2 linked regions of the Drosophila melanogaster genome follow. The protein of the gene in region 1 interacts with the protein of each later gene in a pairwise test. Each region holds a gene or a part of one and is shown on either strand. Other genes may lie near its edges. The genes, in order: klhl10 and soti.

Evidence for each region.
Region 2: the proteins of klhl10 (region 1) and soti interact in a two-hybrid assay, tested with the Drosophila melanogaster proteins (one study listed by BioGRID).

What each region holds. Positions count from the first base shown.
Region 1 is NW_007931083.1:51,196-56,503, forward strand, and holds the start of klhl10 (kelch like family member 10), read left to right. Parts: upstream 1-2,246; 5' UTR 2,247-2,347; intron 2,348-5,308.
Region 2 is NT_033777.3:14,380,092-14,383,459, forward strand, and holds soti (scotti), read right to left. Parts: upstream 1,609-3,368; 5' UTR 1,439-1,608; coding exon 995-1,438; 3' UTR 572-994; downstream 1-571. UniProt on the Drosophila melanogaster protein: Post-meiotically transcribed gene that has a role in late spermiogenesis; required for actin cone progression during spermatid individualization.

The sequences.
Region 1 (5,308 bases):
CCGATACTAATATCGTGAGTCGGCGGGAAAAAAAATTAACATTCCTTTTTCATATCAATATTTTTATATTTGTTTTTTTTTTGTGGAACCGAGTGGTGTTGCATAATGCTAAGTTTAGCCAAAAATTCGTTTGTATCTTACTAGTGCATAAAAATAGTCCGCTCCTACCGTTGAGGTATGCTTCTCGGAGTCTTTGTGTTATGGTAAATTTTTGTTACCACATTAGGCTTATGATTACATGGATACTAACCAAATAAGTAAATGTAATTAACCTTTTATGTTTAATGTTTATTTGACACCACAATTTTCTTCTTAACAAATTTATAAATCCGCGCTTAAAATATATATGTATATACATATATACAAATGTAACTAATTTTGGTAAAAGTATAAAAATGAAAATAACAGCATTACAAAGATTTATGTAAGATTGTTTATTATTATTGTTTATTATTAATTTAATTATTAGTTTAATTCTAAATGCGGTAATTATATAAAGTATTCTTAGTTTGTGACCGAACGACTGCTGCTGAGAACTCGACTGACTGCCACGCTGACTTCCACACCACTGCTGCCTTGCGATCGTTCCTTCGATGACTGATTGTCGATAACTTCGATTTCCGACAATCATGTTGCTGCTCAACAGCGCTGCCAACCGGGTTGTTGCCAGCCTTCAGCCTTACTCCATGTTACATTCGGCCCTCCTGATCATCATCATCCGACCCGGATGACAATAGGTCTGCATTTTCGGCTATGTACTTCCACAACTTCATGTTGTCACAGCTGGTGGATGTGACATTGGGTCCTTCGACGTTTGCTGCTTTTTTAACGTCATATCTGCCATTGTCTTTGACCCCTGTGACTTCGTATGGACCTAAATACCCGCTTGCCATCTTGCGGCCAGCTACAAATTGGGTCCTTTTAATTGCAACCAGATCACCTGCTTTGTATTTGTATTCAGCTCGGCGCTTTTTGTCGTAATTGCGCTTGTAGTCCTTCTGCGCCTGCTCGATGTTGCGTTTTACCAGCTGTCTCATCTCATAGCGGTCCTCGTTGAATTGACAGACCACTTCTTCTTGGAGCAGTTCCAGTAACCGATCCTCAACTCGGGTGTACATCTTGGTGCCAAACATGACCTCAAATGGTGACAGCTTCAGTGATGAATGCACGTGACAGTTGATCGCCTTTTGTACCTCAGGCACATATTTGTACCACTTCGACGGTTCGTCTGAAGACAGCTTTGATATTATTGCCAAAATTAAACGATTTACTCGTTCTATCTGGCCGTTGCCTCTGGCCACTCCAGTAGTTGTGCAGACGTGTTCCACGTTATGGCTGCTCATAAATTGTTCGAACGCACCACTCGTAAAGGCCGTTCCTTTGTCGCTAACAATTCGCTTAGGGAAACCAAAAATGTTTGACCAGTCGGTCAGCCTCTTGACCACTTCTTCCTGTCCGGTTGATTTGGTTGGGAATAACCAGACAAACTTTGAAAACGCATCGACTGTTGCCAGAATGTATTTATACTGTTTGGCCGATGAATCCATTGGCCCCAAATGATCGATGTGTAGTGTGTGCAACGGTGCGTCTCCTTTATCTATGCAATTTAGATATCCCTCCTGCTTTCCCAACTTTTTGCTGTGGATGATACATTTTATACAGTTAGAAATTAGCTTTTTTACCTTGTATTCCAAATGAGGAATAAAAAATTGCTGCTGTATGCTATGCATCGTCTTTTGCAACGACAAATGGCCAACTTCATGTGCGCTTTGAATCACCTCCCTCTCCATTAGTGCAGGGACAACCAGTAGTTCATTGCCATTGACCATACTATACAACAGGCCACCTTTTAGCTTGTAGGGTTGGAATAGACGATCTTTTAGAATTTCCGGGATTGCTCTAATTGAATCATCGTTCTGCTGCGACTTTTTAATACGTGCTGTCAACTCGGATGTTATCATCATGCATGCTTGGGGATGGCGGCTTAAAAAATCAACGTGTCTCATTCTTTCTCCTGCACGATGTTCGGGTTGAAAATTAAAATCCTGCATATAGAGAATCCATGGGCCAACTTCTCTTGGGACATCTGCTTTTTTTGTTGTCTGTTTAAATGCGACACAGTCCGTGACGAGCTTGAAAGGGACTCCCAATAAATAGTGTCTGAACTTTTTCAGAGCTAAGTATGCGGCTTTTACTTCAAGGTAGTAACTATGACGATTTGATTCGGCTTTTGTAGTTTTTCTGCTCCAAAAGCAGACTGGGTGAAAACTGCCTTCGAACTTCTGCAATAAAACGGCTCCTAACCCGTCCTTAGAGGCATCTGTATGAAGTTCGGTTTCTGCTTCTCGTGAGTAGATCCTCAATACTGGTTCGTTTACCAGAATCTCTTTCAGCTTATTCACCGACTGCTGCTCTACTGGTCCAATGTTGAAAATGGCATCTTTTTTTAATAGGTCCGTCAGTGGTCTCGCAATTTGGGCGTATCCAGGTATGAATTTTCTGAAGAATCCTGTGAGACCCAGAAATCCTTGAACGGCTTTTACATTCTGAGGTGTTCCAAAGGAATTCACTGCTGATGTTTTCTCTTTTCCAGGGCATATTTGTCCACCTTCGATAATATGTCCCAGGAAATGAATTCGCCTCTGCATAAAGTTGCACTTCTTCCATTTTATTTTTAGACCAAATTCTGCAGCTCTCTTAAGTACCATTTCCGTCTTTTCCATGCATTCTTCTGGGGTAGCGGCATATACAATTATGTCATCCATATATAGCTGCATTATATTGGAATTGATTAGTTCTTGAAAAATAAATTGAACGAACCGTATAAACGCTGCTGGGGAATTCTTAAAACCAAAGGGCGCTTTGTTAAACTCGAATAAGCCTTCTCGGGTAACAAATGCTGTGTACGGCTTGCTGGCTTCTTCTACGGCCACATGAAAAAATCCGTTCTGTAAGTCCATGGTTGTAAACCATTTGGCACTCTGCAGTTTTTCAAGCACCTCCTCCATTATGGGTACCGGAAAACAATCCATCAGAACCATGGTGTTCAATTTTCTATAGTCCACGCAAACGCGTAGGGTACCATCCTTTTTCTTGACAACGACTATGCGACTGGCAACATTTGATGTAGATTTACGGACGATTGACTGCTCGACCCATTCCTCTACCTGCTTCTTTACAGCTATAGCTTCTTCTTCAGATAGTCGGGTGTGTCCATGGCGAAAGGGTTTAATCACGCCATCAGGAATAATTTTGAGTTCGACTGGACATTGCTTTATCTGCTTGGGTGGTGTTTCGTATGTTCTCTCTATCATGCGTTCAACGTCTTCTCGGTATTGTGGTGCAACTGTAAAAGAAGATTCTTCACAAATATTAAACATTTGGGAATACTCAACCGCTTGTTTTTTATCTGCTTCCAGGTCAAGAAAAGTATAGCCTTCTGCACTACAGATAAGACGAAACTTGCTGATAAAATCGTGTCCCACTATTCCATCGCAACTGAATTTAGAATCGTGGACGACTAAAACGTTGTGGCTTGCTTCCACCTGGTCGGTCTTGATTAATGCTCTGAAGCATCCAATCGGCTGTGTTGAGGCATTTCCCAAACCTCGCAATACTGTTGCAGTGCGGTTTAAATCAACATCTTTCATCTTCTTGAATATAGCTTCTTTAATTATGGTCACATCTGATCCTGTGTCCACCAGACAGTTGATGATAATCCCATTTATGATTACTGGCTTTGTTCGTGCACTATCAACGTGAATGCGCATGCTGTTTACTTTTTCCGGACACTTGCTTGAGATATGGCCCTCTTGATTACAGCTGAAACATTTGGTAGGAAGTGTACAATCCTTTCGTTTGTGTTCCCTCGAACCACAGTTGAAGCAGTGATCTGCTTTTACACCTTGTGTAATTTGCTTTGGTTTTGGTTGAATATTCGGCTTGTCAACAATATTCAGACTCTCGTAGATTTCGAATTCTTGCTTTAATTCCTTAAGAGTTTTACAACGGAGCATAGCACCCTTATACTCCTTTTTAATGTCGAGGCCGTTTACGATATGAGTTATCAAAGCAACTGTTTCAACTTCACCTAAGGCTGCTATTTTCTTCATTTGTAACAAATAGTCGTGTAGAGTTTCCTCCCTCTTCTTCTTCCTGTCTTGCAACTTTTTGTGAATAACGGCGCTATTATAGCTGCCTGAAAATTCTTCAATTAGTAACTCTTTGAGTTCAGTGTATCCACTGACACATTCAGATTCTAAGAAAAGTTCTGCTGATCCAATCATCTTACTTCTGGCTTGAACATATTTTTGTTTCTCCGAAAGTTCATATGCCTCGGCATTTTTCTCAAAAATTTCAAACCATTTTTTAATAGGAATTGATTTGCCATCACAGTCACTTACAACTTTTTCAAATTTTTCTGCAGCGATAATTACTTGCCCCTCTTGTTTAGATTTTGCCAACATGCTCTGGGTTAGAGTATTCATCATTTGTTCAAATTTCTCTTCGACTTTAGCACTAGCGTCTTTATTCTGCTTCTTTGCCTCTGCTTCTCCTACAGGCGCCAACTTTTGATCTTCTTCGTTCATTTTTTCTTTTCTGCTTTCGTCCTCGCTTTCGTTCTCTAGAATTGCTTGTATTTGGTCGGTGTTAAGTTTTTTATTTGTAGGTGGTGTACGTGTGAACATTCCGCGACAAGGCACTAACACCAGCAAACAACGACAATGTTCTAACGGCGCGACGGTAGTCGATTTTGCAGACGGCGCCACCGGTTAAAAGACAAATTTTGATTTTCGTTAGAAACGAATTTCACCACCTTTGCAATTTAATTGTTTTAAATTCCACAACAGCAAAACGACTTGAGTCTGTATGAGTTCAATCGATTTTTTCAACTTTCAATGCAGTAGACGTAGCCATAACTTTACAACTTTAAAGACTAAATCCACGCACACGACAATTTCAACTTTATCAGTTCTCTCTAGCAGCTTTCCCGACTTTTACCGACTTGTGTTCAAACAAAATCTGTACAACTGATTTTTCCAACTTTAAATGCAATAGATATAGCCACAACTTTACAACTTTTAAAGACTATACCCACGCACACAACAATGTCTTTTTTCTTTAAACAACTGCACCTTCATATAACCGATTTAGGACTGGACGAGCCCCCATGTAAGATTGTTTATTATTATTGTTTATTATTAATTTAATTATTAGTTTAATTCTAAATGCGGTAATTATATAAAGTATTCTTAGTTTGTGACCGAACGACTGCTGCTGAGAACTCGACTGACTGCCACGCTGACTT
Region 2 (3,368 bases), on another chromosome or scaffold:
TCCTCATCCCTGCGGCATTTCAGCCGCCTGCCGCCCACAATTTATAAGCCTTTTGGCTACATTTTGTGGCTTTGATTGCAATTATCTTTTGCATTTTGTATTTATTTGCTACACTTTGGGCAATTGTCCGCATTCGGCCTTTGTCTCTGGTTCTCCACTGTTCATCTGTTCATTGTGGCCATTGTCAGTGGCCGTAGTCCACATATGTGTGTTGTTGTTGTTGGGAGGGGAGCCTATATAAATCCTTTTGTTTTTGCCACAAGAATGCCGAGGGAGAGATGAGAGGGCAGAGGCGGAGTGATGGGATCCATGGCGTATGTGGGGCTTCCAATTTGAAGTTTATTAATTGTCAATTTCATGAATTTTTCGGTAGCCTTCAGGCCAATCGGCCTCCGCCGGCAAGCAAATCAAAATCAAAAACTTTGATTTGTATGTACGTTATGTAGGTGCTGCAAGAGGGAGTAGTCTCTATTTGAACAATAAATGCGTTATTAATCTGATACCTGTAAGTGAAGTTCGATTTGAAAATATTGAATAAAGTGTGATAGTCACTGTATAGACAATTTAATTTAGATAAATCATTCGGTTTTTATTAACATATATGTGGTACTTATATATTATGTGGTTTGTTAACAATTGTAGAATAAATTTGGAAAACAATAAGTTGAAAACCAAATATGAAAATATAAGTTTGCTAAATCGTGTTGTTTATTGAACAAGATTGAACCGCAAACATTTTTCAACTGTAAGTCAGTAAAGTAACGTCTTTTTTTCCTTTTTTGAGCTTGGTGGAGCGGTAGATAACTATGGTGTAACGTATTTTTGTTTTGAGCAAGTTTTTAGAGGAAAGATAACTAATGGGATGCATATCGGCTGGTTGGATATATGGACGTGTACATGTATGTGTAGTATGGGATCCCAATGAGCTTGCTCGATCTTCCGAGGTCCAAGAGAGGTTCTTCTAATTTACAATCTATGGGAGAACTATGGCGAATCAGAACTGACCCCAATGCTGTGGCAGACCCATACCATTCGGGTAGTTCTGACTGGTCATATTCTCGACGAGGTAATTTGCAAAGTACTCGCCTCGCTGATCCTCGCGAACGTGACGCATTGCCCTCGTGACACTGGCCATTAGGAGGCACATCTCCGGCTCCTGACTTTGGCATGGCGGAGTGGGTTTGGTCATAGTGTAGAAACTTCGTTTCTTCCGCCGACGTGGTGGTCCATTTGGCCCTCCTTGCGCCGGAAAAACGCCCAACGGTGGCTCTTGAGGAGCGTCCAGGAGTATGTCCATCTGACGATTGACTCCCAGGCGCTGCTGCTGCTGTCCATCCTCCAATGTGTCCAAGTCATCGCCAGCATCTTCATTCACCGCGTCGCCGACTCGATCGATTAGCTGCTCATCGTACAGATCGTGTCCGTGTAGTACGTCCATTCCAACTTACAGGCACATACAAAAAAAAAAAAACAACCAACAAAAATTGAACAATAAATACGGCAGTGTAGGTTGTGCTTCTGCTATTCAATACGATGTTTTTTTCTCTGTAGTATCAGTTGTGTCGTTTTGTAGTTGTAGTGTCTGAGTTTGATTTAGAACTGAATTTAATATCATGGCATTGTGATTATGAGAAATGGAAACCTGACATAAAAATCAAAGGAATATTTGCTAATAAATGATAGGAGGAAGATGTTTTTTGTTTTGTCATTTCTATATTATTTAGAGAGTCTAGAAGCCAAGAGCATCAGCAAAGAAAACTTGCCACATACCAAGTCCCATTTGGTCGAAAGTTTTTCGCCTGTTTTCCAGCCTCCTAAACTGGGGGCGATTAGATAGAATTGTGTGTATCCATTAGATGTAGTCATATCCATATCGAACGGCCAGTGACAAATGGGAAATCGCTGTCTGACATTTGCTCGCCTTGTTCCAAATCGGGTTCAGACCCCAATAGCCAGCCCCCAAGTGATTGGACACATTTAGCCCTATTTACCCACCCCAACCCTTACGAACTCACAACCCCCCACCGACGCCCCATCGACGTCGTCATTACAAGCCATTTAACTCGACTCGAATGCCTGGCATCAAGTGCTCCGGATTCAGAATCGAGAAATCGAAATCGGCAGCTGTTTGTGTGCCTGTAATGGGAGCACATTACAATCTGTAAATGAGCTCATTACGGCCAGCTCAATTAATAACTTTTCGTATTGCGTTTAAGCAATCGCATTTCGGAAATTGTTTGCCAGACAAATCGCTGTGAGAGCGAAAAGTTTTTCCCGCCGGAGGAAATTATGAAGTGGAAGTGTAAGCGGAGTGGAATGAAGTGGAGTGGAGCAGCTGCATCCAACAAGTTAGCCATTACCATCATGTTGCCAAGGATGTATCAGCAACATTTCGATTAGCGCATGCGCAGATGCTCCCCCTCGCTCTCACTGCGTTCTTTCCTCTCTCTCTCTCTCACTTTCTCTCTCTCTCTCTCTCTTGAGATCTGACCTCTCGCTTGTGGAACAATTTATTATGGCTTTGGGTCTATGACTGTGTGTAATCACATTGTTGCCATTTTCACTTCATTATTTTGCTTTAATACGGGCAAATTTTTGTTTTACTGCTGCACAGAGACAAATCGGGGCAGAGTATTTTGTTTTATCTTAATTTTTGTTGGTAAATCTTTTGTTAGGCATTAATAAAAGTTCAAGTAAAATAAATTACAAATTATAAACAATAAACAAAGATGTTTTTATATTCATTTGAAATATTACAAATAATATAGTTAGTGCTTAAGTTGATTTTACTCATATCATTTAATGAAACTTACTGTGTATAGTAATACAATTTCTCTAAGTGCAACTTGCATCCTTCGCCTTCTGTTTGCGTCAGTTCGTGCCTTCCTTCTCTGCTCACCTGTCCCCATCTCTTTCTTCGAGTCTCTTGCCTCTCTGAGAGACGAGTTGGACTGTTACAGTTGGTTAAGTAACGAGGCCAGGATGAGCTTCCCTTCCAGTTATCAATGAAGAAATGAACATGTCCCTGCTGCTTCGTCGCTTCGGGCGACCTTGCCAGTGTGTGGGTGCGTGGGTGGTTGGCTGTTTTTGGGTGGTTGAGCTGGGTTGGGCTGGACTGGATTGAAGTGGGTGGTGGTGGGTGGATTGTGTCTGCAAGTGTGCGCTTCTGTGTGCAGCAGACAGTAATTATTATGCCATGTCCAGCGATAATTGATTCAATGAAATATCTCCAACACGAACATTGTGTCCATGAAAGCTCCTGGGCAAGGATATATCGCCATATGTATGGCCTGTTTGTGCGGCTTATTTAAAGCTCACACTAAATCGGATTTGTCAGCCAATAAACGAGTGTTTGTCTATGACCTCAC